Linked DNA regions of Pelodiscus sinensis. The protein of the gene in region 4 purifies or fractionates together with the protein of the main gene of each other region. This does not show direct contact. Links are inferred from orthologs where the notes say so. Each region holds a gene or a part of one and is shown on either strand. Other genes may lie near its edges.

Region 1 (7,278 bases), on a different chromosome or scaffold from region 4:
CTCTGGAACAACACTAACAGCTGTAATGCCTTCCCCTCTAGGATAAGACTCAAATCCAGCCCAGTTATTATCATGTGCTTGCTGTTCAGTCATTATGATGAAACTGTTGCCTTCAGTCCAGTTTCAAAGCAAAGATTTACATAACTGGCCCCTTTACATAGGAGTAGAGCTGTTATGCACAAAGCTATCCTCTTCACAATAGGGGAACTCAGAGCTGGAGAGTGGGCAGTAAGAGAAAGCTAGCCCTGCTAGTATGGAGTTTTAGTCTTCAGGACATCTGGGGACATCACGGATTTCACTTGGAGAGTTTTCTAATCAAAGGGCCCATTACAGAGCAGAGGACCCACATAGATCAAAGCCAAGAAAACATGAACTTCCCAGTAAGAAAATTTATTGTAATATAAAAATGTTCTCCAGTCAATCAATTCTCTTTGGTGGAGAGTTACAAATGGGTCTTATATATTAACTAGAGTTCACTGGGCAGTGGTTTCTGACTGGTGCTCAGATTTTAGTCACCAAAGTATACAACCAAACCTTTCCATCATCACTTCTGTTGGGAACCCATCCTCCAAATCAATACAAACCAGGGGCTGGGTGAGTTACACATTACAGCAGATTCAGGATAAAGGCTCTCTATCAATTTCTCCTGTTGTAGTCAAGTAATAACATTTACATTAACCCCAGAGAAAGAAAAAAACTGCATTGGTACCTGTCCATTGTATTGAGAATTTGCGTTAACTGGCCTCTTTGGAAATTAAACACTGACATGCAATAAAGAACCCATGCTAAGCAGAGCAGCAACCAAAGAGGAAATGGAAGGTCCCGATTAAATCAAAATAATTACACTAGCAGATCTCTCAATTTTTAGGGAAAGTGAACTGAAAACCAGGAAAAATGCAGTCGTGATTTTCTGGGGGAGAATTAAGATATAATCAACATGTCACCAAAAAAAAAAAATCACTGAGAAACATTTTAAACCATCTAATAAAACAGACTGCTTGCTGGTCAACAGTATTTCTTGCCATTTCGTAGGAATCAGGTGGGAGTCAATAGAAACAATTTAAAATCTCAGGCAGGAGGGGGAGGGTTTTCCCACGTCCCCCTGAAGCACATACCAAATACATTTGTGCACACCAACAAATCAAGGCAGTCTAATCCTACCAATGGAAAGATTCAACTGCCTCACATTGTTGCATGCAGCCAATCACCTGCAAAACAGTTTACCTCTCATCTGCTGAATTGTGTTAACCATAAAGTACAAACCCCATTTCTATTATACTTAAAAAGCCACTTAAACAGTTCTATGGTGGATGGTAGCTGCCATTGGATGGGAAGGACTTGCCCTAAAAGGTTTGCCACAGTTTGTCAGTTCTGCAGTGCTGACTTGCATCTGTAAAGTCTCTTCTACAAGACATCTCCAGCTCACCCCACCTGGTGCCAGCATAGAGAAGAAAAGCCACAAGGAGATCTCCTGCATATGTTCAGTCTCCAGATTCTGGCTTTGCTTTCAGTCCCGATATCGGTTGAAATGTTCACAATTTTGCCATGGTGCTGGTGAATTTCCCTCTGGGTGCAAAAGTCCATGATATGTTCCTCCTTGGTAGAGAGGCCCCATTCAACTCATATCCCTTGCAAGGTGGAGCAATGTCTGGGGCTCTGGTCACACTGCCTCCTCGTGGGGCTTTCCAGAAAGTGGCTACTCCGTGGATCAGGCCCCTTAGCAGTCCAGTCGCAGGGGGGTGAGGTTGCCGCGCTGCTCCCCACACTGGCGATGGGCCAGGTCTTGAGCTAGTTTGGAGGGGCTGCTGCCCAGCACCAAAGGGGGCCTGATCTCATCACAGATGTACTGGTGGGAGGGCTGTGCCACTGAGACCTTCATTAACTCCCGGAAGGGGGGGCTGGCCCATAGTCTGCATTACAGGCTCAGCGAACTGGGAGGGGGCCGTGATTGGAAAGGGGTGAGCAGCTGGCGCCTGTTGGGGGCCCTCGGGGGCGCTTCAGGGAAAGGAGCCTGGCGGGCGGGCCGGGGAGGCCGGGCGGGCCCCTTAGGGCCGGTCCGGGCGGGCGGGGGAGGAGGCCGGGCGGGCCCCTCAGGGCCGGTCAGGGGGAGGGGGCCGGGCGGGCCCCTCAGGGGGAGGAGGCCGGTCCGGGGGGTCCCGCTCGGGGGGCGGCAGGCCCCGCGGGAGCCCGGCCCGGCGCTCGGCGGCGCGCAGCAGGCTGCGGCGCAGCAGCGGGTAGAGGCGCTGGCAGCCCTCCACGCCGAGGCGCACGGCCTGGGCCCAGCTCTCGGGCGGGCCGCCCTGGCCGCTGCCCAGCAGCCCCGCCACCTGGCCCAGGCCCGGCAGCAGCGCCACGGTGAGGCGGGCGGCGGCCGCGCGCTCCTGGGCCGCGCTGGGCTGCAGGCGCCAGGCGGCGGCGGGCCCGGGCGCGCGGCACAGGCCGCAGCCCACCACCAGGTCGAACATCTCCACGCCCGCGTCGGCCAGCGCCAGCGCGGCGGCGCAGAGCGCGGCGGCCAGGCCCGCGCCGCCGTCCTGCAGCAGCAGCGCGGTGAGCTCGAGGCGCGCGCGCGGGTAGCGGGCCAGGCGCACGGCCGGCGCCAGCGCCTCCTGCAGCGCCAGGCCCAGCTCGCGCTCGCGGGCGGCGGCGGCGGGGCCGGGGCGCGGGCGCGCGCCGCGGGCGCAGAAGGGCGCGCGGCGGAAGTCGCAGAGCAGGCGGCCGCGGCCCTCGGCGGCCTCGCGCGGCCCACGCACGGCGCACAGCACCTTGGTGCCGCCGGCCAGCTCCACGTAGGCCGAGCCCTCGGCCTGGCTCAGCAGCCCGGCGCGCGCCAGCAGCGGCCGCAGCGCCCCCGCCTCCGCCTCCGCCTCATCGGCCGCCGCCGCCTGGCCCGGCGCCGCGTACAGCAGCGGCGGCTGCGACTCCTCGGGGCCCGGCACGCGCCGCGGGTCCAGCGGCATGGCGGGGCTGGGAAGCGGCGAGGGGGCGGGGCCAACGGTAACAGCAGGGGGCGGGGTTAGCGAGAGGGCAGGGCCAACGGTAACAGCAGGGGGCGGGGTTAGCGAGAGGGCAGGGCCAACGGTAACAGCAGGGGGCGGGGTTAGCGAGAGGGCAGGGCCAACGGTAACAGCAGGGGGCGGGGTTAGCGAGAGGGCAGGGCCAACGGTAACAGCAGGGGGCGTGGTTAGCGAGGGGGTGGGGCCAACAGAGCAGGGGAGGGAAAAACAAGGAGTGGTCTGGCAGCACTTTACAGACTAACACAGCGGAGCTGGGCTCATGAGCCGGGCACAGCGGGGCGCAGGTTCAGCTGGAGCTGGGAAAGCTCACCCCGCCATCCACACTTGGTTAGTCTCTGAGGTGCTATCAGATTAGTCCTTGTTTTTCAAGTTTTTCCAGCAGGGAAGGGTGGCAGGAGAGAGGGGAGTTAGCAAAGGGGCAGATAATGGCAAGGTGGGGAGGGCAGGGGGCTAGTGAGGGGGCCAGCAGCAGGGGAGGAGATTAGCAAGGGGGCCCAGTGATAATGGTGGGCAGGGCTATTCAGGGGCTGGCAGTAGGGAGAAGCCCCATCCTATCGCTAACTCTACTTAAAGCCAAACACCCTCGCCTCCCTCCCTGCTCTCCACTCACTTCATGCCCCCTTCCTGTTGCTCACTCTCCCTATTCTCCCTCACATGCTCACTCATTTTCACCAGGCTAGGGCTGTGGCTGGGGATGCAGACTGGGATAGGGTAGGGGTGAGGGATTTGGGTTGCAGAAGGCTGCTCTGGGTAGGATGTAGGGCAGCAGGGAGATCAGGTTCCTGCCAGCATTTACCGCAAGTAGCTCCCACAAGCAGAGCCATCTCCCCACTGGTGTGAAGGGCCCTGGCTGCCCTTAAATGTAGATGCCAAAGTGGGGAACAAAGTGTTGCTTCTGGGAGCCACACAGAGTCAAGGCATTAGCCCCACTGCATAGACTTTTAATGGCTGGTCAGCAGCACTGAGTGGTGCCAGGATGGTTCCTTTCAGCTGGGTGTTCCAGTCAAGATCTGGACACCTGACAACCCTAGTTGACAAGGGGGGCTTGAGTGGTAATGGAGGGGGAGGAGGCTCACATGGGGCTAGGAGAGGCTCCTGAGTGGGAACAGTGACCCCCCAGCTGAGGAAGCATGAGGCTGACAGTGTTCCTACAGCCTCCCTGGAGATTCAAGGTTACTGGGCACTCCCTGAGGTAGGGTGTGTGAAGCCCCCACTGACAGCAGGCACCCTTGCAGTAGCTGTGGGCCATAGGTCAGTGCAGGCCAGTGCTCCCACCTGCCTTGTCTCTGGCTTTTGCTCCCATGCAGAGTAGCTCAGCCCTGTCACCTCTGACCATCCCAAGGCTGGCACTTCAGAGAATTACAGAGAATGTGGTACCAGTCACTCCTCTGCAAACTTCCTGTATTATCAACAGCTGGTAACAGTGGTGAGGTTCAAAATACTCTAGCAGGTTGGATCCCCACCTTCGACACCCAGCCTCATTGCAGCTCATGCTTCCAGTGTAGTAACACAGGGGTGAAGGTGGTACACACAGACTCTTGGCTTTGATGCATGTTAATTTATTGTAGAAGTGTGACAGTATTTGCTAACAATTAGCACCTTGGACTGTGCTCTGCAGACTTTACACCATTAGCTAGTTAATCCTCACAGTAGCCTGGGAAGTAGGTCAGTACTGTCAGCTTGACTTTAGACAAGGAACAGACATAGAGAGGATGAAAGTGACATGATTCAACACAGGCTACCGGGAGACCTCATCAGAGCTGGATTAGGACACAAGCTGTTGATTCTGCTTTTAGTCTGCTAATGCCTCAAGCAAATGGATTCAGAAGGAATGAGGAGCAGAATCCATCTTCACAAGCCCCACTACACTGTAACCTATCGGCCAGGCTGAGGAGAGTTGAGGGCATTCCTTGATGTGCTGAGAGTCAGTGCAGGGGCACTAGGTCAATTCTTCAGCTCACCAAGGTGGAGCTTGGCAAAGTCTGTGGCCAGTTTCAGAGCCTCCTCTAGGCAGTCAACATTCTTTCCTGTAGCTTGGGCAGATACATCTTTCCCACCGCCTTTGCCATCCATCAGACCCGTCACCTCCTGCACCCACTGGTTTGCCTTCAGGCCCTTGGTGGCTAGCTCCTGGAAAGCAAGAATTCAGATTCTTTTAAAGACAGCAGGTTTGGAGTGACTGCTGGGGAAGGCAGGATTTCCAGGCTCTGTGCTGTGGCTGACAATGCCAGGGAGGGAGGGAAGGAAGGAAACGTCTTTTCCAGGCAGGTGAGTGGGTTTGAATCAGTGGCTCTCAATCTTTCAAGATCACTGCCTATTGTGACAGCAATAGCCTCAAAGGGTCTTCTGTGATCGCACCCCCTTTCAGGAGTCTGATTTGTCTTGTGTACTCCATGATTCACCTCTCAAACATTATTTGTTTTCAAAATCAGAGCTACAAAAGTCAAGGCCAAGCCCTGCACTCGCAGCAGTAACCGAACAAAACCCACCGACCCCACCAGAGGCATATGCCATTGGACATGTGGTGTAAGGCTGAAGGGGCAGTCAGAGACAGAACAGGAATCAGAAGAAACACAGAGTAATGCTTCTTCAGAGCCCCTCCTCAGTGGAAGCTGCTCATTTCATGTTTCTATCCCTGTCTCCACACCCCATCCCCAGGAGCCAGGGTCAGGAGCAGGGCTACTGCTACTGGAAAGGGGCGGGGGGAGGGGAGATGCAGATAGGGAAGAGGCTGGAAGGTGGACTTCCCTGTGCATGAGGGGTGCAAGAATCCTGAAGTACGCCCCCCCCACCAGTCTGACACTCCATCTGAATGGCTGCAGGGCGGCACAAGGAAGGGCACACACACAGTACTACCTGAGGTACTTGGCATAAGCAAGTGATCTTCCCAGCTTCGCTATCCACAGAGAAGAGCATGGCCGCAGTCTGAGGGGAGTAAGCCTTGAACAGCTTCAGAGATTCATTCAGGGCCTGTGGAGACATGCACACCGAGTCATGGCAAGAACCAGCTCCTGACACCACATTGCAGGCTCTCAGATCCCTCTGCAGCCACAGCCAGGACAGTCCCCAGTGGCCCTGAAGGTACGAGCTGCATAAATTGGTGAAATGATCTAAAATCAACAGGATGAAATTAAATAAGGAGAGAAGTGCTCCACTTAGGAAGGAACAATCATTTCACACACACAGAATGGGAAATGACTGCCCAGGAAGGAGTGCTGCAGAAAGGGATCTAGGGATCACAGTAGATCACAAGCTAAATATGAGTCAACAGTGTTGGAAAAAAGCAATATTCTGGGATGTATCACCAGGAGTTTTATAAGCAAAACACAAGACGTAATTCTGCTCTACTATGAGCTGATTAGGTCTCAACTGGAGTAGTGGGTCCAGTTCTAGGTACATTTCAGGAAACATGGATATACTGGAGAAAGTCCAGAGCAAAAAAAATATATGTATATTAAAAATCTAGAAACCAACTATGAGGCAAGACTGAACAAATAGGCTTGTTTAGTCTGGAGAAGAGAAGACAGAGGACCTGATAACAGTTTTCAAATAAATAAAAAAGTGTTGCAAAGACTGTAGAAAAATGGTTCTCCTTAACCTGAGGTCAGGACAAGAAGCAATGGGCTTAAACTGCAGCAAGGGAGGTTTAGGTTGGACATTAGGAAAAACTTCCTACCTGTCAGGGTGGTTAAACACTGGAATAAATTGCCCAGGGAGGTTGTGGAATCTCCATCCTTGGAGATATTTAAGAGCAAGTTAGATACAAACCTGTCAGGGATGATCTAGGTAATGCTCAGTCCTGCCATGAGTGCAGGGTATTGGACTAGATAGCCTCTCAAGGCCCTGTCCAGTGAACAGAAATGGGCTGCAAGAAAGGTGAAGGTGGAGAGGCTTCACTGACTGGGAAGAAGTCCCTAAGCACCAGGCACATAATCTTCCCAAAAAGAGATGGAGCGCCCTCGTTCAGAGAAAGAACTGGTGCAGTTACACAACTCCCAGGACAGGCTGTGCGGATGCACAATCCCCGGGACACCTCCAGCAGCACCCCACAGAGAAAAGCACCTGGACTCTGGAGCTAGAACGCAGATGCAGCATTTGTGCAGACTGCAGTAATGGCCCCAAAAGAGAATTCTAGAGCAGTGGTTCTCAAACTGGGTCAGGCCCCCACTTCCATGGGGTCACCAGAACTGCTTAGACTTCCTGGGGCCAGAGACGGAAGTTCAAGGGATCCCCATCCTCAGCCAGACTGGAAGTGGAGCTG
Region 2 (7,072 bases), on a different chromosome or scaffold from region 4:
GGGGGATGGATTGTGACCTAGGGCAGTGAATTGGGGTATAGCAGTGGGTGCAGGGATTTGGGTTGGGAGCTAGGGCAGTAGGGGATTGTGATCTGGGGCAGGGGATTGGGGTGCTGGATCTGGCAGGGGATATGGGTACAGGAGGGGGGCAGAGGATTTGGGTATGTGGAGTAGGGCCCAGGAGTGAGGGTCAGAGGGTTGGAGAAAGAGGGGCTGGGGTGCCAGAGGCAGGATCTGGCCAGGAGACTTACAAGCCAGCAGCCATTCCTGCATCAGCCTCTCTGCCTGCCCAGTCCCCAAACAGGCTGCAGCCTGGAGCACCTTGTGCTTTGTGGCTGCCTGTAATTGAAACAGGCAGCTCCCACCAGCCAGTTTCTGGCCAGAAACCGGCCAATGGGATTGTACCGGGATGAGAGCAGCTCCAAAAGCTTTCCCCCCTCCCCTCTGGACTCAGTTTTTAAAGAAAAAACGCCCCACAGCTGCATTTCTGAGCAATGTGCGCATAGGATAAGGCAAGTGGGGGGCCTGCCTGGGGCTCCCTGCAGCATCTGCGGGCCAGATCCAATGGCTTAGCAGGTTGGATCTAGCCCAAGGGCTGGTTTTTGCCCAGGCCTGCTTTAAAAGCAAGAAGATAGATAGGGGATCCCCAACTATCCAACATAATCACTAGGACACTCTGGATCTCCTTTAATGTTAAAAACATCAGGCATCCAGGCACACAGATGAGTGTGGCCTGCTCCTGAATAACCCAGGGAGAAAAGAGTGGGTTACACAGGTTTAATTCCCAGTTCGGACACTGACTTCCTGCATAAACTATAAAATGGAGATAGAACATAATACTACTCATTTTCTACACTTAGTTTGTATTGTGCATTAAAGCCCTGATCCTGCAATAAGCTCCATGTGGGCAGACCTCATCAGCTTCAATGCAGCTCCTTATGCATAAACAAGAACCTTATGTCCACAGCTTATTGCAGAATCAGGACCTTACATAGCAACCTCTTCAAGGAAAGAGCTTTGTGTTTTGGTAGCACCTAGCATATTGGGGCTCTGATCTCGGTTGGGTCCTCAGATTTAACATTTTTATTAAAGCTAATGTTAGAATTATATAATACACAGGTTAAGAAAAGAATGTCTATACATTGAGATGTAATGCTTATCAGATAGTCGACTAGTGATGTGACTAGTCGCTTCCCCTGACTTGCTGCCTCTATCCGAGAGAGGCGGCAAGTGGGGGAGCAGGTCCCAGTGCTAGGAGCCAGCTTAAAAGCTGGTTCCCCTTAGCACCATCTCCTCGGGGGGCAGGGGAGGTAGAGGCACAGCGGGAAATGGCGTGAGCAGAGACTGAAGCTGTCTCTGCTCGTGCTGCAATTCTGTTTTTCAAATATACAAGAGCCCCACTGGGGCTCTTGTACATTTAAAAGGCTGAGGCAGGGCTTCCTTTGAAATGTAGCAAAAGAATGTGTTTCTGCAGTGGCCAGTTGGGTGGACCTCCAGGCTGCCCCAAGCAGCTGGCTCCAGGTCAGCTGCTCAGGTGGCCCCAGGGACAAACACACTTGCCATTTCTGGAGAGGCTCTGCACTAATGGTGCAAAAATGTGTTTATTTTGGTAAACATGTAACCGCTGAAAATTTCAGCAGTTACATACTTGCAGATGGAGGAGGCGGGAGCTGGCTCTTAAGTTGGCTTTCCACGAGCACCTGATCCTGCCTCCCTCCCCAGGCTGCTGCCTCTTTATTAGAGGTGGGGATATTAAATATCAATTAACTTAATAGTCGAGTAACCTCATTAATTCTTATAGGCTAGTCAACTATTCTATAGCCCCCAAGGATGGGACTGGCAGCCAGTGCCCCCTGCCACTCCGTGTTTCTATTGCTATTTTAGAGGCAGCCGCAGGAGCTGATCCACGAGGGGAGCCAATTTAAAAACCAGCTTGCCTTGCGGACTGGCTGCCTATTGTCCTGCACTGCTGTCTGATAAAGAGGCAGTAGTGCAGAGTGGTAGCAATCCCTGTGTGGGAGGGTCTGAGTTCCCGGACCCAGTATGAGCCAGAACTGAGCTGGGTTGCCTACCTGCCCAACTCCTAATACAATTTAAATGCAGAGCCACAGCAGGGATAGGTCCCAGACCCGTTGCAAGCCGAGACTGAGCCAGGCTGCTGGCCACCCTGCTAAGAAATTTAGTGGCGAGGGGAGGTGGGAGGGAAATGCTTGTCGTCTGGAGCATTAACCTACAAGCTTTTGCTGATCAGTTAATCGACTACACTATTACAGCCCTACTCACAGGCAGCATCTCAGATGCGCTGGCTCTCCCCCCCCCCCCCGCCTGATCAAGAGGGCTGCAGTAAGGGTGAGGGTTAAACAGGAGCCCGGGCTACATCTCTACCCTGCACCCGGCCGCTTGCACAGCCCCGCAGCCAGCTACGCGGCCTCCGCTCGGCCGCCCCGGGACCAGCTGGTGCCCTTGGCCCAGGGGCGTCTCCCCCTCCCCCACACTCAGTCAGTGCACGAGCGACAGACACGTCACAGGAATTGTATCTACGTAGCCAACAGTCGGGTTTGAGTTTCGGGCGGCGCGGCTCAGACAGCGACGAGCCGTGAACTGAGCGGGGGGGGGGGGGGCGAACAGAGACCGGGGCGCCCCTTCCCACGGCCGCAGGGCGGCACCCAACTGTCCGCCCCCCGCGCAGCCCCGCCCCCCGTTACCTGGATACCGTGCACGATGTAAACCTTCTCCGCCTCGCTCAGCACCACGGACGCCATGATGCGCGCCGGGTTCCAAACACACCGGCCGCCGCCGCCTGGTGATGCCGTCACCAAAACGCGACGACGCTAACTTCCCCGTCGCTTCCCTGCCGTCCCTCCACCCGCACGGAGTTACGTCAACCGCTCGCGCGCGCCGTGCGATGCCTGCGGGCGGGCGCGTGCACCGCCCTGTGTGGGTGACTCAGAGTCACTGCGGGGCTGGGGCTGCGCGGGAGCTGCTCCCACGTGGGGATAGCAGGCGCGCAGAGGGCAGAGCCGGATGCTCTGGGTGGACGCGCCACGTGTGCGCATGCGCAGCTCTTAATCTGGGCGGCCTGCTGGAGGGGTGCGCGTGTTAGTGCAAGGGCGTTGTTGGTCCGCATTGTGCCTGGATGCAGAGCCCTGCACATTGGGGATGGCAAAACCCGTTATTACTGTAACCGTGTAGCCGGTCAAACCGGTTACACGGTCACTCGCTGGCTGCCAGCCCACTTCCAGGGAGCCAACGACCTGCCTAGCCCTGCAAACTCATACAGGGCAGCAGAGCAGTGTGGCTGTCAGCGCCTCAGGAGCCCTGCATACTGGGAGCCAGCTTTTAAGGTAGCTCCCCATTAGGGTTGCCAAGGTCCAGTATTGAACCAGACAGTTTGGTATTTTCGCCTCCTGTCCCATAAAAAAAATCAAAAAATACCTGACACCTAAAATGTCCGGTACTTTCTGATTTTTTCCCAGCCAGGAGGCGAAAAATCTCGGGCTGTCCAGCTCAATAAGGAGGCAGCCTGGCAACCATAGTGCTTACCAGGGAGTTGTCTGGCCCAGTGCAGGGAGGCAAGATGGCGGGTGGCTGCTGGTAGCCTGTTAGGGCCAAAAAGCCTTACCACATGTTTCTTAAGAGGGCCATGCTGTTATTTTTATTTTTGCTTAACTGTCAAAGGGGGGACGGTACTTTTTCTGAAACCATCTGGCAACCCTATTCCCCATCATCATGTAGATGTCTACAAGATTAACTGATAAACCTGGCTATCGGTTAATCCTGTGGTCTACACGCATTTCATCTCCCCCCCCCACACACACACTCTTGCTGCCTCTATATCAGTGGCTCCTGCGGATCTGCCTTCTCCCACTTACTGCCTGCTATATAGGCAGCGGGGGTGGGTGGGGAACAGACAGGAGTTGGCTTAAAAGTCAGTTCCTCCCAGCACCAGCTCCTCTGTGCTGCCCCCCTCTATGAAACAGCTTCTGTCCATGGCAAGCTTGGGCCCACTGCAGATAGGTTGTTGTGCATTCTATAGAGCAGCCTTACCTAGGCCTACCGTGAACAGAGGCTGCTCCATGGCAGCAACTTCTGTCCACAAGGAGCTCAGCCCCTCCCTCCCACCCCAACAGATCGTGTGACTAAGGTATCATCTCAAAGGCACTTCTCTCACTTAACGAGTAGACCACTACCAAATGTACTGTTGATTTTGGTCAATTTCATAGTCACAGGATTAAAAAAAAACCATAGGCATGGGTGGTCAGTAATTTAGGCAAGGGAAGGCAGAGCCTTCCCAAAATTGCTCACAAGACCAACTGCCTAAGGCTGGGGCTGCCAGCCTGGCTCTCCCCAGCCACCGGGGAGGCATCGGGCCACTGCTTGGTAGCCCGGCTTCCCCTTTCCACTGGGGAGGCATGGGGCTGCAACTCGGCAGCCCAGTTTCCCCCCGGCCGCCAAGGAAAGCTGGGCTGGGGCTGCAGTACGACAGTCACAGCTCTGCACATGGCCCAGAAACCTCGAGTGGAAGGGGACAGAGCTCGGGCTTGTCTTCCCCAGCTGGCCTTTCACCCAACGCCCATAACCATAGGTTTTGTTATTTCAACTATTTAAATCTGAAATTTCAATGTTGTAACTGTGGGGGTCCTGACCCAAAAAGGAATGGGTTTTTGCAAGAGGGTTTTTGTAGTACTGCTAGTACCCTTCTGTGGTGCTGGTACTGGCAGTGGTGCTCAGCAGCTGAAGAATGGTGACTGCTGGCCGGTCACCCAGCTCTGAAGGCCAAGCTGCATGTAGCAGCAGTGCAAATAAGGATGGTATTGCCACCCTTCTGCACTGGTGCTTGTAGAGCTAGATCCTCAGTCAGCAACTCTCTGGCCACCCCACTCTGAAGGAAACAACAGAGAAATAAGGATGGCATGGTATGGTATTACCACCCTTCTACACTTCTGCTGGTGGGGTGCTGCTTTCAAGCTGGGCATCAGGCCAGCAGTCACTGCAATCCATCCACCCAGTTCTGAAGGCAGCACAGAAATAAGGGGGGGATACTGCAACCCCCCTAAAATAAGCTTATGATCCCTGCAACTCCCTTTTGGGTCAGGACCCCCAATTTGAGAAACTTGGTTTCCCCCATGAAATCTGTATTATATAGGGTATAAAAACTCAAAAGATCAGATTTTACAAGGGGAGACTAGCTTTCACAGTTCATGATGAGTTTTTCATCAAAGCATAGGGCTGGAAGACACCTCAGGAGGTCATCGAGTCCAGCCCCAAATTCATGGCAGTGAATTTGGTAGGACCCTTTAATGAGTGTTTTAATATTTTGTTTTTTCCATATAATTCCATGTGTGGCCTTGTGCCTTATTTAATGCATGCCAATCAAATCCTGCTGTAAAGACAGAATTATTAATTGCCTCATGGGCTTTGGTATGATGCTTCGCACTGTATTGAGTGAATCAGGAATATGAATGAATTTATTTTCACAAAATCCATGTATGATTGAGATAGTATAAATATCACCATTTTACAGATGTGAAACTGAAGCTGAGAGAGATTAAAGTGAAAAGTATCTACTAATTTTGCTACTCAATTTAACATACCTAGGATTTGATTTTTTTTTTTTTGAGTACATGGTAATATATAGTTAGGGATGTAAGTGACTAGTTGACTATCTGAATAGCAAATGCTTATCAGATAGTCGAGTAGTGACTCAACTAGTCGCTTCCCCCTCCTTGCACCATCTTGGCGGGGGGTGCAGCAGGAAACAGCACAAGTGGGGACTGCTTCAGTCCCCGCTTATGCTAGTTCCCTCTATGGGCTCTTCTGCTTTTGAAATGTACAAGAGTCCTGTGGGGCTCTAGTACATTTCAAAAGCAGTCCCCACTCACCCTGTGCTCTCTGCGGCAGCCCAGAGGCATCAAGCCTGTCTCAGAGGCAGCAAGAGGGGGACAGGAGCCAGTGGAGAGCCATCTTAAAAGCCTGTTTCTCCCAGCACTGTCTCCGGGGTGCTGCCTGCCCCTCACCCCGCTGCCTCTATCAGAGGCAGCAGTGCGGGATAAAGAACACTGCTACGAAGCAGCCTCCGTCTGCAGGGGTCCTAGCGGGGAGCTGGGCCTCCCCACAGACAGGGGCTGTTGCTACCAAGCAACCCCTGTTCAGGGTGGCCAGGCCGGGCCATGGGTAGGGGTTGCTCAGCAGCCACCCCTGTCTGTTGCCAACCCTGTCTGCCATGAACAGGGGCTGGTGTCTGAGTAGTCTGTGTTTGCGGTGGACAGGGCTGGTCGCCGCAGACAGGCTGCTCTGGCACCAGCCCATGTCCGTGGCAGACAGGGCTGTCTTCTGTAAACAGGGGCTGTTAAACTCATTGCAAGCTGGGACCAAGCATTCCCATCTCGCACTGATCACTGTGCCTCTGCATTTTAAATGTAATAAAAGCCCAGCAGCTCTTACTGCATTTATAATGCAGAACCACAGTGCGGTTGGCTCTGGAGCCAGCATGAGCCAGGACTGCTCTGTCCCGGCTCAAGTGGGCTCCTGGAGCTACCCAGGTGCCAGACTGAGGGGGGGGGGGGGTCACCACTAGGACCCAGAGTGTAGAAAATTGTGTCTGCTGCTGGTGCATGTGTATTTTCTCTGCAGAGGAGTAGAACAGGAAGAGGGCAGAATTGAAACCTTTCAAAGTTTTGGCCCAAGCAAGGCGGCATGGGGGTGTCATTTGAGCTCCCCACTTTGGGTGCCAAAATGTTGTGGGCCAGCCCTGGAGCTACCCTCACTGCAGCTCTGCAGAGCAGCGCTTATCGACTAATCATATAGTCAATACAAATTGTTTAGCCAGATAATAGCATTTTAACATCCTTATATATAGTATTTCATTTGTTCAAAGCATAGCTCTCATCTACTTCAGCTGCAGTTGTGCGAATAAGCGCCAACTCTTTGGGGTGGGAAGAGGCGGGACAGAGGTGGTGTAAGCTTGGGGAAAGGGATGGAGTAGGTTCAGGACCCGGGGGAAATCAGCATCTGTGTTTGAGTGTGTTCGGCACATTTGAAAATCAGACTCCAGTTGAGAATCTTGCATCTA
Region 3 (7,942 bases), on a different chromosome or scaffold from region 4:
CACAAGCAGAAAACTTCAAGACAACGGAAGGCCTGAACACAGTAAAGAAGAAATATAATCAACAAAATGTGCAGCAAGGGTCTCCCACCAACTCTCCTTTGTAGGCCACTTTTAACTGACCCGGTCTACAGTTAAAACTTAAGTGATCTAGCTAGCTCTCTCAAAACTGTATAAAAACCTTCACACCCTTTGAAACATAATGAGGGTGACCTAACCACGACTGTAAATGTAGGTAGATTGACAGGTGTAAAAAAAAAAATCTTCTTTTGATGTTGCTACTAAAGATATAAAAGGTTAACCAGTAGGCCTCACCTTAATGGGTGAGGCTTACAGGTTCTGGTTACAGGTAGGGGCTGAGGCAACCCCTGTCCCTGGCAAGCCAGATCCACCTTCCCCCATCAGATTATATGCTGGCTCCCTGGGAGCAGGGCCAGGCATTTAAAAATGTAACTATGTAACCACTAAAAATCAGAGCGGTTACAGGTGCTGGAGGCTCTGCAGCATAGCTTATTTAAGTGTAAATGCTATGATTTTTAGTGGTTACACAGTTACATTTTTAAACATATTTTTACATCCCTACTAGCCACTGCCTCTTGAGATTCTAGATTTACTAAAAAAGAGAAATATCCTTTTGTGATCTGTTGCAATGCTTGTAGTGTAGATGTACCTTAAGTTATCTTTTTCTTCAGTGTTCTAGTATGCTACTAATATAATTTCACAGAGCTGTATACTCAGAAAAAGTACATCCAGCCACCCAGATAATGTGCAAGTGGGCTATTCATCATCTCTCAATTTTACAGTTCATCCCAAATGGAAAACTTCATTTGCCTCTTTTGAAGCATTCATAAATGTGAAAGGCATTATTCAACTTGATTTGTTTTATTTCGTAATTTTAAAAAAATATCAGTCTCTTGGCAGACCTTATAGATAATACATCTCTGGAAGAAGGGACATAGTTTTTCTTTAAAATGTGAAGACTTTTCAACTCTCCAGTTGGTGTTAGTCTTTTCAGAAAGCAAGATGACTGACAATACAGTGGGAAATAGTGAAACCGACTCACAAAGTAAAAATAGAGGAAAAAAGCCCCAGAGCTTTACAAAAACTTTTCATGTATTTGATAAATTATTTTACTGATGTGTTACAACATCAAGAAACCTGTGTATTTGCAAAGGAAGAATAGTACACCAAGATAGCAATATAAATATTCTACATTTCAATTGTTAGCTGAAATCATTTGTTCAAAAAAGGCTCTGCAGCAAACCTGATGACAGAGAATGCAATCTTTGTGCAAGTACCTCCACATGCCCAGACAAGGCTTCTCTGTCCACCTCCTGAAATCACTAACAAATAATTTACAGCTTTGTTAGAGAACTGAAGAGAGATATTAAGACAGCAATGGAATCAAGAAGCTGCCAAGTCTTGCTATCACTGCTGTAAATTTTCAGTGCCACATATCACTTAAGTGATGGTACCCCTATTTCTGACCTATTTAACACAGTAAACAGAATCTTGCATTTTGTCCATGCTCAGTAAAGAATCTATTCTGTGACAAGTGCTCTGACACCAGTTACTTCACTGAGTTAGCATAGCTATGCTTTTTTTAAAAAAAACACCTACTGTTGCACCTACTGTTAGTAGTGACAGGGTGCAGACTAATTACCATAAAATCAACTAACTCTGATCTAAACAAGATTTAGATAAATTAGTGGCCACTAGTGCTCCTACCATCTCTACTACTAAGAGAGTTGGCAGCAATAGGTGAGTTCAACAAATGCCAGAAGAATCCACTTGTTTGGAAAGTGACACATGCTAGCTCTTGAAGCAAGAAATCAAAGGCTGATAAACCAAAAATGATTAAATTAAAAGTACAACAGCAGCATTCAGAAATAAAACAGAGAACAAAATATGGACCGTAAAATAATGGCAAAAGTAACCAAAAAAGAAAACCCCCAAGACCATCATTCTGAAGCAAATCAGAATATGGGTTGTTTTTTTTTTAATACTCCAACCACGTCAATAAGTATTGACCCCTTTGGCCTCCAACTTGTCTGGATTTAAACTGCAATTATACATGCTCGTAGGTGCTGGAATCGTTGTGTTGACACTGAGACTACTTGCCTTGGATTAAAACCAAACACACCTGATCCTGATCTACGGGCTCTTCGCCCTACCACAGCCTTTAGGGTCACACGCTGCTGATGATTATTCCCCTTAACACCGATCCTACTGACGCCTCAGCCCTGAACCAGCTCTTTTCTTCCTGTGTCTGCAGTATGACAAGGCCAGACATGCTCAGAGGAGACAGGCGTCAGTGCGAACGGACCCTGCCCGAAGGCTCGCCCAAGACGCTGAGGGGGGCGAGGAGCGCTCGCAGGAGTTAGGGGAAGAAGGGAACGAGCAGGGACCACAAATGGCCCGGAATGACCCAAGAAATCCCGCAGGTGTCTGACAGGCTCCGGCCCACCAGCACTCACCCAACCCACGGCAGGACCTGCTGCCAAAGGCCGCCTGCACGGGGCCTCCACCAGTCAGAGCCACCGGGAAGTGGGAAGAGGGGCAGGCGGCTGCGTCTCCGCGCAAGCGACGGGGGGAAAGACGAACAACGGAGGCTCCGGCAAGGCCTATAGCCCATAAGCCAAGTCCAAGTCACCTCGGCTGCTCAAAGGCCGCGGGCCTCCTTGGCTTCTGTACCCCACGGCAAAGACCTTTCCCCGGGCAGCAACCGCAGGCGACACCGGCGCTTCCACGGCGGCCTAGGCACGTTCCCGCAGCAGGGCCGCCCCGGCGGGGCTGACACGTCCCGGACGGGAAGGAGAAAGGCTCAGGCACCGCCTGGCCGCCCCGGGGAGCCGGCCGGCGCCAACGGGGTTAATTACCTGCGATCCCGGACGGAGAGTCTCTCACAGCCGAAGCAATTCCTCAGTCCCAACAACACAAGATGGCGGTCGCGCCGCCACGCATCGTCACGTGATATAGGGCGCCACCTACCCACCCAGGCCCCGGATGGGAACGGCGGCGAGTTGAGAGCGCGCGCGCGCCGCGAACAGAGCGCGAGCTCCGCAACGCTAACGGCCGCCGCGGGGTGACGCGAGCCCCCGCCCTAGTGCCAGGCCCGGGCCTCGAGAGAGAGCACGAGGCCGGCCGAGGCCGCTGCGTCGGGACAGCGCCCAGCCCCGATCCTACCCTAGGGCCCAGGCCAGGCACGGGCCATAGTCCTCCGCATGCACCCAGCTCGGGCCGGGCGGGAGCCCAAGTGCTCTGGTACTTCCCCACTGCCTCTGTTCTGGGCCCAGCTCTCCCACCCCGCCCGACCTGGGTGATCCAGAGCCCTCTGACAAGGAGCCAGCCCTGCCTGGAAAAGGGGTGCGGGCGGCTCGGGTCAGCAGTGCTGAGCGGGGCGTTAAAGGGCCGCATAGTGGGACAAGGAACTGCCGGGCCTCCCAGGAGTGTTCAGCAGGGACGCTCCCCCGGCCTCCAGTAGCAGCTCCGCCCCTCCCATTGGCCGGGAGGCTTTGTGAGCGGGAGCTGTGGGGGCAGTGCCCAGAAAACCTCCCTCCCCAGACTTTCTGTCGAGGAGCCAGACATACTGGCCCTGTCCCAGCGTCTCAAAGAACCAGGGCAGGCAGGAGTCTGTCTTAGTGCCTCTGTGCCTCTGGCCTAAGGTAAGTACAGCCTAGCTGAACCAGTGCCTTGATCCCCCTCCCAGAGCTTGCAGGCCCAGCCCTGAGCCTGCTCCCACACTCTAAACCCCTGAAACCCAGCCGAGAGCCCCCTCCTACTTCCACAGTCGGCAACACCAACTAGAATCCTTCCTGCACCCCTGCTCCAGCACACAGCCCCCTCCTGAATCCCTCATTTCTGGCCCCATCCCACATCCTGTACCCCCAGCTGGAGTCTTCACCCAGTCTCACAACCCAATCCTCTGGCCCATTCCATTGAATTTGGGGAAAGGACAAGCGATGCAGGAGAAAGTGGGATGAGGCTTAGAACACGGGGTGGGGCAGGGCAGGTGTTTGGTTCTATGTGATTAGAAAGTTGGCAACTGTAGTCACACTTCATATGCAGAAATCACCCTGTCACGTTATTCACACTGCTTTCTCACAGAGGCAGACATCTTGATCAGTGTTCAGGACCTGATGAAAAAAATCTTAACATAGTCAAGGAGTTGACTGAGAAAATATCAGAGACATTGGGTATTATTTTTGAAAACTCATGCAAAACAGAGATTGCAGAGGAAGGCAAATATAGTGCAATCTACTAAGACAATCTGGGTAATTACAGATGAGTCCTCTTAATTTAAGAACACAGAAAGATAATAGAGTAAATAATCAGTTTACAAACACCTGGAAAATAAGGTGATGATGGCTTATCAAGGAATGTTGCTTTTGAAGAACAAATCATGACAAATTAACCTAATGGCTCTGCTTGATAGGAAACAAGCCTTGTGGATGGGATGTGGCAGGGGAGGAGTGGTAGATGTTGTATATCTTGATTTTAGTAAGGCTTTTGTTAGTGTCCCTCTTGATCTCAAACTAGGGAAACAAAGCCTAGATGGAGTTACTATAAAGTGCATGCATATTTGGTTGGAAAAACATTCCTGTAGAATAGTTATGGTTCACAGTCAAGCTGGAAGGGTCTATCACATGGGGTCTTTCAGGTATCAGTTCTGGGTCTGATTCTGTTCAATATTTTCATAAATGATTGAGACTAAAATTATACAGCGTACACTTAAAGTTTGAAGACAATACCAAGCTCAGTGGGGTTGCAAGTACTTTGGACGATAGGATTAAAATTAAAAGTCATCTGGACAAATTTGAGAAATTGTCTGAAGTAAACAATTAAATTAAAAAAGGACAAATGCACTAAGGAAGGAACAATCACTTGCACACACATACATGGGAAATGACTGTCTAGGAAGGAGTACTATGGAAAGAGCTCTGGGGGCACGGGTATTGGATGAAGCTATCTCTTGGGAAGGTGAACTCCCCAGGCTTTGGCCCTGCCCATATTCTACTGCAGGCTCCAGACATTCTTCCCAGGCACTGCCCTCTCCCCACTGTTCTCTTCTTTCCCTGCCCTGCTTACCCCCTTTAAGCAAAATCCCTGAATCCAAATGTAGAAAATGACATTTGAAAAAAAAAAACACTCTTCTACAATTTCTTTCTAACGAAAATGGAACATGTTATCCACTGCATGCCAGATTGTGAAGACTGGACCTGCAGAAGGTACCTAATTAAATTTATTTGGGAATAAAAAAAGTCACAAGTTTTTTTTATATATACCCTGAAGTTTGTCAAAGATTTATTTGCACAAACTTTGTGGTAAGGGCAGGTCAGCTGTCCTGCTGAATATAACATTAAATATTATGGAATAGATGATGCAGCTCTTCTTTGTTTAATTTTTTTTAATCAGTATTTCTGAGCTGATTTTATATTTTAATTTTACTCTTAAGCCTGCACAAGTAATCATTCCAGATTACTACAGATTTAAGACACTGAAGCAAAAATATAAGTTTAAATTAATCAGAGCAATTTAGTGTGTTCATCACAATATTCATTGCTTTTAGAAAAAGGGAACACTAATTTATTTTGTGTAATCTCCATAACAATAGACATATTTACAAAATTTCATTTTATATTAATGTTAAAAATATGTCTAAATATTTTAGGTATAACAAGATTTTATACCTTACTGATTTTGGTGGAGGGTTCTCGTAAAAGTAGTTCATCAAATAGTCAGAAGTAAAAAAAGGGAAAATTCATTTTAACCAGGTATGTAGAAGAAAAGAGGTGTTGTCCCTATAAGGACTCTCTTGAACAGAGAGTGAAAAGAGAAAGATTACAGCAGAGATAGATAGAAAGAACAAGACGACTTTGGAAGCAAGTTTTTTGTATTATAGTAATTAAAATGTGTATTTTAAATAAGATCTTTTGAAGAATTTAAAGAACTGTTTGTCTGAAGATCCAAGTATGTAAGGCTAAAGATGAATACTCAGATTCTGCATCTCAAAATCTATGCAAGGATGTTTTAAATGTGTGGTTTTATAATCTACTGCCGCAACAAACTGACTAAATATTTTAAGCAAATTGTAAACTAAGGTCCTGTAGCCGAATAGATTGAATAAATATTGCAGGAATGCAAAATTATTTTTGTCAAGTACATTCAGAATCTGACAGTATATACCTCCAGGATGGCAAATGCTTTTTAAATTACTCCATTATTGCTTAATGGCTCTTTGAACAGTTTCAGTCTTATGCTGATAGATCTGGCAAGTTGTAAGACTTTTCACTTTGAAATTACTAGATTGCCTCTAGGGGCAGACTCACCAGGCTGAAACACCCTGTTGTTGGAGCCTGCAGGAAGAATCAGACTAGGGGTAAGAAGAGGTAGGTGTTTGGACATTAAGATCCAGGGGAAGCAATGTCTTCCCTTTCCTCTATACTGACCATGTCTGGGAGTTGATAGTGGATCACAAAGTAAATATGAGTCAACAGTGTAACACTGTTGCAAAAAAAGCCATAATTCTGGAATGTATCAGCAGGACTATTGTACTCAAGACACAAGAAGTAATTCTTCCATTCTACTCCATGTTGTTAAGGCTGCAACTGGAGTATTGTATTGTGTCCGGTTCTGGGCTCCATATTTCAGAAAAGTTGTGTACCAATTGGAGAAGGTCCAAAGGAGCGCAGCAAAAATGATTAAAATTCTAGAAAGCATGATTTGTGAGGAAAGATTGCTAGCAGCTGCATCAAGCATGTGTCTGGAAGCCACTTTAGCCCCACTGGGCTGATGGTGGTGGTAGTGGAGGCCCCTGGTCATTTTAAATCACCCTGAGCAGCAGGCAGGCTGGGGGGGGACATGGGGGAGAGGGGATTGCGCAGGGGCCGGAGCATAGACAACTGGTGTCTGCAAGGGATGGGGAGTAGGGAGGACCACTCAGAGGAACAGGGAGGGGGGTATAAGAGCACTCCATTTAGCAATTACAATTTTGACAAGGCACGGGGGTGCAGTGCACCTCCTGGGTGCTGCCACAAGTCATCTATTGCCGGGGTGAGACCCGGCCCTAACCTTTGGTGTAGATGAGATAGGAATATTCCTGTTATATGGGCCCATGGTACCCAAGGACCTCGCTGCCTATGACCACATTACATATATTTGGAAAAATCTTAGCATTTAGAATGAGCTCCATTGGGAGACTGAAGAGACAGGATGGGTGAGGTGGTATCTTTCATTGGACTATTTTGTTGGGGTGTGTCTACACTGCACCTTTAGCTTAAATAAACCCTATTCTGAAATGTCCCTTAGTCCTCATGGAACAAGGTTTACAGGGATGTCAGAATAACTACTCCATTATATTTTGAAATAACAGGCTTCTTTCAAAGATGTGGAATAGCTATTTCAGGCTACTGAAATAATGCTGCAGTGTAGATGTACCTTTAGAAAGAAGGACTAATCATATGCAACTGCTCTGAGGGAGCATCTGCCTCTGTAGCAAAACTGTAAGGTTCTGGTCTCTGACAACTTGTATTTCCATTCTCTTGGCTGCTTGCTATTACTAATGGCTAGAAAAGTGCAGGGGAGGATAGCAAGAAAAAGAATTCCAACCCAAGATGTCAGAATAGGCACTTGCAGCTCTCTTGCAGAAGCAGCTGTGCCTTGTAGCATTGTTGTTCCAATGTCGTATCTTGACAGAAGTCAGTTAGATCATGTGAATATCTCTTTGCATTTTACTTGGAGAATTCAGAAGAGGCCTCTGTCTGACACTGGAGAAATCTAGTTTGTGGGGACTTGCTTTTAGTTAGTTTAGTTAGTTTGGGGGAGTTTATCAAGCAAAATTTCAAGAAGGGAACATTTTTAAGGTATGCATTTTTTTTAAATTTTATTTGGAAAATTCAAAATACATTTTAGTATCTATTTTAGTAGAGTTATCCGAGGACTTCTG
Region 4 (7,484 bases):
CTCTGGGATAAGCCCTCTTGCGCAAGTATTCTTGTGCAAGAGGGCCAGTGTAGACAGGCAAGTTAATTTCTTGCGCAAGAAAGCCCGATGGCTGAAATGGCCATCGGAGCTTTCTTGCACAAGAGAGCGTCTACACTGGCACGGATGCTTTTGCGCAAAAGATGTCTTGCGCAAATACTTTTAACGGAAAAACTTTTCCGTTAAAAGTATTTGCACGAAATCATGCCAGTCTAGACGCAGCCCTCTTGTCTAACATCCTAGACAACAACAGGCTGCACTAACAGTTGAGCCACAATCACACATGCCTTCGCAACCCTCTTCCCCAAAAATAAATCAGAAAGTTTTTGTTCTAAATAATAGTTAAAAATTTAAACTAAAAATTTAAAAGTTTTTTTATTAAGGATGAGCAGCTGAACTAAGAGTTAATACATTTGAAATTGACTTGAAATTGATCTCTGCTATGTTGATTATCTAATATACTATGTACATGTATCAGAAAAGTCCATTGTACTTATAACAACCAAAACACTCAAAAAGGCTACCTCAGAATAACCTATTATGTACAACATGGTAGTGCACTACACAAAACATCATCAAATCCAGCAATCACAGAAACTGGCAGTCTTCCAATGTCTAAGACCAGCAAATACAATATGGATAATTAAATTTAATTACCTAAAAAGTTACTGATGGCACAAAATGGCAAGAATCATAGGGGTAGCTGTGTTACTCTACATCTGCAAAATGAATGAGGAGTCTCTTTATGGTGCTACCAGATCCCTTGTTGTTTTTATAAAAAGGCAGAAGTTTCAGTGTAAATTTTTTAGCCATGTTGAATATTTTAATATACATCAATATCATTTAATTCCAATTAGAAAAGAAAATTGAGTTTAAAAATGTCCTTAAAATGGGGGCAAAGACATAAGAATCTCAGGCCCAGGGGCTGGATGTGGCCCCTGGCTCGCCTGGATCCAGACCGCGAGGCTCAGGGCCCTCCCCCAGCACTGGGGAGCACACACCAGTGCTTCAGCCTCCCCACTACCCTGTTGTGGGGCTGCAGAACACAAAATCTACTAGGCTGGGCCCCTCTAGGCTATGGTGTGGGAAAGGAAAGTGGAGAGTATCTTTCTCCTTCTCGGTCAAGGGCCATGTCAGAGAGGGATTTTGCTTCTCACTTGTGTGTAGCCCCTGACTGATTTTTCTGTGGGTCCATGGCCCATAACCCAAAAAAGGCTCCCACCCCTGCTATAGCCCATAGCTACTGCACTGTTATAGGTAGTCCTATAGCTAGCCTTCCCCTTTCAATTCCCTTCTGTTCTTCTTCAGAATTGCATCTTCATTTACTTGTGCAGGTTTCTATTCTGCAAGGACATTTCGTTGTGCTACTGGCTGGTTTGGTACTCCCCCTCTTCTCTATTACTGAATCTGTTTTGTTCTGTAGGGTCTGCTTCCTCTGGAAATGATCTAGTTAACTTACAAGTGACAAAGCCTGTCAAGGCTGTTAGCAGAAGATTGAACCTGTGAACCATCTAAGTGGATGCATCCTGTAGGCCTTCCAAATGGTAAGGAAACCCGTATAACAGGCATTTGCCAACCCCAGTATATACCGTCAGTTTCTGAATTTACAGTCTCAGAGGGCTGTACCCACAAAAGATTGTGATACCATCTACATGTTTTGTTAGTCTTTAAAGTGCTGTTAGACTATTTGTTGTTTTTGTGAGTCTCTCCATATTTGTGTTATTCTCTAAGGCTACGTCTAGACTGGCATGATTTTCCGCAAATGCTTTTAACGGAAAAGTTTTCTGTTAAAAGCATTTGCGGAAAAGAGCATCTAGATTGGCATGGATGCTTTTCCACAAAAGCACTTTTTGTGGAAAAGCATCCGTGCCAATCCAGAAACGCTTTTCTGCAAAAAAGCCCCGATTGCCATTTTTGCGATTGGGGCTTTTTTGCGCAAAACAATCTGAGCTGTCTACACTGCCCTTTTGCGCAAAAGCTTTTGCGCAAAAGGACTTTTGCCCGAACAGGAGCAGCATAGTATTTCCGCAAGAAGCACTGATTTCTTACACGAGATCGTCAGTGTTCTTGCAGAAATTCAAACGGCCAGTGTAGACAGCTGGCAAGTTTTTCCGCAAAAGCAGTTGCTTTTGCAGAAAAACTTGCTAATCTAGACACAGCCTAAGGGTACGTCTACACTGCAACGCTATTTCTGGACACATCTCATGTCTTCACAGCAAGCCCATTATTACAGGCTCGCTCTCCCGACATCCCTGTAAACCTCCTTCTACAAGGCGTACGGGACGGGTCACCACGGGGCTTTATTTCGGAACTCGGCGCGGCGACGATACAAGACACGCAATGTGCTTCGCTCCCACGGCGCCTCTTATCTCGAGTCACCGGGCAGGGCAGACGCACCCCACAGGGCCTGGCGCTGGGTCATGAATGTGCCCGGGGGGAATCGACAGGACCCGCGTTTAACATTTGCTGGGCGAAATATTCCATGGGGGTGGGCAGAAGAGGACAAAATCCCAGCTCTAAAACTACCCCCCCCCCCCGCTGGTCTTGCTCTAAAACTACCCCCCCCCCCCCCCCGCTGGTCCTGCACTAAAACTGCCCCCCCCCCCGCTGGTCTTGCTCTAAAACTGCCCCCCCCCCCGCTGGTCTTGCTCTAAAACTGCCCCCCCCCGCTGGTCTTGCTCTAAAACTACCCCCCCCCCCCGGTCTTAGGGGCAGCAGTTTCAAGCAGGGGCCCGGCTCCCTGCCCCCTAAGGATCGCCCCGCCCACGCCCCAGCCGCTCCTGCCCCTGGCGCCCCCCGTGCCCCCGCGCCCGGCTCACCGCGGGGGCAGGCGGCCCGGCACAGGGCGCTGCGGCAGGGCACGTCGGGGCGCAGGTAGTGCTCGCGCACCACGCGCACCGAGCGGCCCGCCAGGCCCCGCAGCTGCAGCACCTTCTCCGTGCGCTGCATCGGCCGCGCGCCCGGGCCCGGCGGGAATGGCGGGAGGCGGCGCCAGCGCGCTACGCCGGAAGGGCGGGGCCTGCCTCGGGGGCGGGCGGGAGCGGCGGGGCCGCTGGGGGAGGGGCATGGCGAGGAGGGGGCAGGGATGGAGCTGGGGGGAGGGGAATGGCGAGGAGGGGGTAGGGATGGCGCTGGGGGGAGGGGCATGGCGAGGAGGGGGCAGGGATGGCGCTGGGGGGAGGGGAATGGCGAGGAGGGGGTAGGGATGGCGCTGGGGGGAGGGGAATGGCGAGGAGGGGGTAGGGATGGAGCTGGGGGGAGGGGAATGGCGAGGAGGGGGCAGGGATGGCGCTGGGGGGAGGGGAATGGCGAGGAGGGGGTAGGGATGGCGCTGGGGGGAGGGGAATGGCGAGGAGGGGGTAGGGATGGAGCTGGGGGGAGGGGAATGGCGAGGAGGGGGCAGGGATGGCGCTGGGGGAGGGGAATGGCGAGGAGGGGGCAGGGATGGAGCTGGGGGGAGGGGAATGGCGAGGAGGGGGTACGGATGGAGCTGGGGGGAGGGGAATGGCGAGGAGGGGACAGAGATGGAGCTGGGGGGAGGAGAATGGCGAGGAGGGGACAGAGATGGAGCTGGGGCAGGGGGATGGCGAGGCGGGGGGCAGGATGTGGGAGGGAGAGGGGGTAGCAAGGAGGGGGCCTGGATGGTGCTGAGGGAAGAAGAGGCTGGCTCAGAGGGGGGCAGGGATGGTATGGGGGAAGGGCCAGTGGTGAGGAGAGCAGAGATGGTGCTGGCAGGGGAGGGAGATCCTGGGTTACAGGAGACATCAAGCTTTCAGCCTTTGTCAATAATAGCCAGAAAGTGTCTGATAGTTAAAGGTCAGGGGATCAGGCTTTTTTCCCTCATTCAAAATCAAGCTGGGGTCAGCTGACCTAGAACAGGTAGTCTCTCCAGGAAGGAGCTTTCTACTTCAGTGGACAATGCCCATGTTTAGTGTAAATTCCCATGCATGAAGATTACCGCTGGAGGGATTCACAGGATCCCGATAAGCCCTGAACTCCAATATACACATACGTTTCGCTTAACCTGTGTACCATGCCCATTTTCATGTCAAACATTAGCTTTCCTAACAAATAATTAAATCTGTTGTTATCAGTTTAATACTTGATATGTTCTCTATCTGGGTGCTTAGGATCCCAACAAGGAGCCAGTGTGGACTACATATGGAGTCGGTTGACGCTTTGCTCAGCTGACGTGGCCGCTTGTAGTTTCCGACATCAACAGGTGGTCAAAGGACATTTACATGGAGCACATCACTTGACATTGACAGTACTGAGAGGCATAAGCAGGACCACCGACAAGGGATGCAGTCTAGGAAGTAGCCCAAATTCTTCCATGTCAGGCAGTACCTTCCTACCTGTGGCATAGTCACGGGTGGGCCTGGGTAGGCCTAGTCCACCTGCTTTTAATCCAGGCCCACGCAACCATGCTGGTTGGATGTGGGGGATGACCCTGCTGCACCCAGTGCTCTGACTGGGTAGCCGGGGCTCACCCTGCTGCGCCCAGCATTCCAGAGAGTGGGGCCAAGAGGTGCGGGCTCCCCTTTGACCCACGCTCCAGCCTGGGGAGCAGCCAGGGAGTGGGGCCAGGGCTGTCACCGTTCCATCGGTGCCCTGCCACCCAGCAGTCTAGCTGGGGAGTGGAGCTGGAGCTGACCCCTTGCTGTCAGCGGTCTGGCTAGGGAGCAGGGCTAGAGTGTGGGGGCTTACTGCCTCCATCATTGCCCACCCTCCCAAAGTCAGGGCCCACCCAAGTGGTCCTTTCTGGCTATGCCATTGCTTCCTACAGAGAGCCTACCCCAGATACTGACAGAATGAGAGAGAATCTCCACCCATTAATATATGTGGTTTCCATGGCTAATCCTCTATAAAACTTCCAGTGGATGATATACCCAAATGCTTATTCACTACTACCAGACTCTACTGCTAAACTCCTAAATCTGAGTCAGTGCTAATTGTAGTTTTTTTGCTCTGTTGTTTCTCACTCTCCTTCGTTTGGAGGAAGTTTCCGATGATAACACGATAAAACATGATGTGACCCTCAGAATATAAAACAATAATCAGGTGTGAGAAACTCAGGAAATGAAAGAAAGTAATCATATACTAGGCCTTTAGTCAGACATACTCAAAAACCTAGGAGGAAAATGCATTTATTTCCTGAGTTCTCCAACTAAATCAGGGAACTCAGCTGAAATTCAACCTATGTTCCTGAAAAAGCACCTGAAAATGACCTGTGGTGAGAGGATGCTCCTGTTAAGTTGGAAGAAGCTGAGCCAAACAGACGCCAAGAGAGAACCACTACGTGACCTTTCTCAAATGCCGCTGCCATGGCAAAATATACCATGTTACATAGGTTCTGACTTCTATTCTTGCCGAGGGGGTGCCCGGCCACTGCTCTTCACCAGCTCCCCCCCCCCCATACTCCACCCTTTCCCCCAAGCCCATACACCAGCTCATCTTTCCTCACATCCCCCAAGTACAGCGCGTGCCTCCCTGCTTCTTCATCTCCCTCCTGGAATGTCAGCATCCCGCCAATCAGCTGTTTGTAGCACTCTAGAAGCACTGGGAGGGAGGGAGAGAAGTTGGTTAAGTGTGGGGCTACCAGCGCATGAGTGGCGCAGAGTGCACAGCTTGGTGCCAATGGGTGCTCTGCACCCGCTACTTTTTCCCAGTGGGTGCTCCAGCCCCAGAGCACCCAGGAAGTCAGCTCTAATCCCATGATGAATAGCATCAAAGAGCTTACAAATACCCAGATACGGTAATAAAACATTTGCAGAAAACTTCTGTGGGTAGTTCACAGTCGTGCACGCCAAAAATTCTAACAAAGCAGAGCTGGCTTGCAATCATAGCTTGAGCTCAAACCAAGATTGATTTTAGGTCCATTGTATACCTGACTTGAATATTTTGCACAGCTGTAGAAAGAAGTGTCTTCGGACTTTTTTCTTTTTGAAAAAAAGGGAAATTATTTTGTGATTATGCATTGCTGTGCTTCCCATTTTCTCAGCAGGATGATCTCCCCTCTGCCATGAGCCTGCATCTTAGTTTTCAGGGTGCAGTTTCCGTTTATTGCCACTGGGAGACACCATTTCATTGATTTTGGATGAGAATACCAGTGTGTCCTCTGTTTAAAATTCAGCCTTTCAGGTGTTGTGATCAAAGTGCTGATAGTTGCTTGTAACAACACCAAGCAATTTCTACTCCAAAAGAAACTAACAAACTAGTAACTAAAGGCTGCTTTCTAATACAATAATAACCCCTCATGCTGCTACATGCCTAGATGTTTGTAATTATTGGAAGCATAAAAGCAATGTATTTACTATAATTCCTCATTTTTGGTATATTAATTCCATGATTCCCTCTTCCCTTTCATCTACAGATGAAATTTTGAAGCATGTTCTACATCATTAAATCAAAAAGTTGTACACTCTGTTGTTTCCCGTAATATTATACATCTTTAGCTCATTCCAATGTTTTATTCTTGTATTAACTGATGTATTATGCGTATTAAAAAGTCAAATACTGATTTAAAAAGCAATGGCCATGTTTATTCTGTCATCAAAACTACTAAACTTTAGCTGATATAAAGGTAAGGAGAAGCATCATTCACAGGTGATTTTAGATTGGAGGATATTAGCTGTAGCTTTTCATAAGATCTAATAAAACAAACGTAAACATAGTGGAAATAATTTGGTTATTTTTGGCCCAATTATGTAGCCTTTAATCAGGCAAAACTATCAAGATGTATTTGATCTGAATAGGGGTGTGAGCTTAAAACTTTTACAGTGAAATGATGCTTACATGAGCCTCATACCCTGTAGTAACCCCATTATAGTTGATAAATTTCACAGAATAATAGATGTCAGATGGAAAAGACCTGTTAGGTCACCCAGTGCATCCTCACCAAATTGGGATAGTCCAAGTTTGGAGTCATTTACTGTAGAACTTTTCCCTGTAAGGGATATTTATTTATAAAGTGCAGTAAACAGAAAATAGAACTGCAAGGATGACTTTTTTGCCCTCTCTTTCAAAATCTCAAGCTGAAATTCCTAGGTGAAACTGATGAATTCCTTCTTAGCCTCCTAAAATGAGAAATTAAATGAGTGGTAGTTGACCTCCATTGAACCCTTTTCCGTTGTCATTTGCTGTACAAATTAGATGAGAAGAGTTTTCCTTGAAGGCTCAGAGATGTGCATTGAAACTAAAGAAGAAAATATCATACTGTTTCCCACCCTGCCCTCAAAGGCTCAGGAGTTGATTCTGCAAGCATGTTGGTGAGTAGTATGGCTCAAAGTTTGAAGTCAAGGGGACACTCACATGAAAAAGACTGTGTCACCAGGTAAGTGTTTACAGGATCAGAATCTGAAGCTCTGCAGTTCTCTTCTTAGCTCAAGCAATCAAATCATGCTATGTAAAGCTTCAAACTAATACTGAGATAATGGAGCTTAATATTACTGATGCAAGCCAGCAGT

The links.
Region 1: the proteins of DIS3L (region 4) and EXOSC6 purify together in Homo sapiens (affinity purification with mass spectrometry; 3 studies listed by BioGRID and IntAct, with this or other methods). This does not show direct contact. The link is inferred for Pelodiscus sinensis from reciprocal best matches to the Homo sapiens genes DIS3L and EXOSC6.
Region 2: the proteins of DIS3L (region 4) and EXOSC7 purify together in Homo sapiens (affinity purification with mass spectrometry; 3 studies listed by BioGRID and IntAct, counting the BioPlex papers as one, with this or other methods). This does not show direct contact. The link is inferred for Pelodiscus sinensis from reciprocal best matches to the Homo sapiens genes DIS3L and EXOSC7.
Region 3: the proteins of DIS3L (region 4) and GIGYF2 purify together in Homo sapiens (affinity purification with mass spectrometry; 3 studies listed by BioGRID and IntAct, with this or other methods). This does not show direct contact. The link is inferred for Pelodiscus sinensis from reciprocal best matches to the Homo sapiens genes DIS3L and GIGYF2.

Annotation. Positions count from the first base shown.
Region 1 is NC_134722.1:48,825,763-48,833,040, reverse strand, and holds EXOSC6 (exosome complex component MTR3), read right to left. Parts: upstream 3,008-7,278; 5' UTR 2,961-3,007; coding exon 2,091-2,960; 3' UTR 375-2,090; downstream 1-374. Other genes in the region: AARS1 (alanine--tRNA ligase, cytoplasmic), read right to left, coding at 4,962-5,147, 5,874-5,987. UniProt on the Homo sapiens protein: Non-catalytic component of the RNA exosome complex which has 3'->5' exoribonuclease activity and participates in a multitude of cellular RNA processing and degradation events.
Region 2 is NC_134712.1:178,144,964-178,152,035, reverse strand, and holds the start of EXOSC7 (exosome complex component RRP42), read right to left. Parts: upstream 3,008-7,072; 5' UTR 2,763-3,007; coding exon 2,706-2,762; intron 2,308-2,705; exon of another isoform or gene 2,293-2,307; coding exon of another isoform or gene 2,284-2,292; intron 1-2,283. UniProt on the Homo sapiens protein: Non-catalytic component of the RNA exosome complex which has 3'->5' exoribonuclease activity and participates in a multitude of cellular RNA processing and degradation events.
Region 3 is NC_134720.1:4,777,558-4,785,499, reverse strand, and holds the start of GIGYF2 (GRB10-interacting GYF protein 2), read right to left. Parts: upstream 3,004-7,942; 5' UTR 2,877-3,003; intron 1-2,876. Other genes in the region: uncharacterized protein LOC102449525, read left to right, coding at 5,180-5,225. UniProt on the Homo sapiens protein: Key component of the 4EHP-GYF2 complex, a multiprotein complex that acts as a repressor of translation initiation. In the 4EHP-GYF2 complex, acts as a factor that bridges EIF4E2 to ZFP36/TTP, linking translation repression with mRNA decay.
Region 4 is NC_134724.1:4,766,532-4,774,015, forward strand, and holds the start of DIS3L (DIS3-like exonuclease 1), read right to left. Parts: upstream 3,008-7,484; 5' UTR 2,968-3,007; coding exon 2,838-2,967; intron 1-2,837. UniProt on the Homo sapiens protein: Catalytic component of the RNA exosome complex which has 3'->5' exoribonuclease activity and participates in a multitude of cellular RNA processing and degradation events.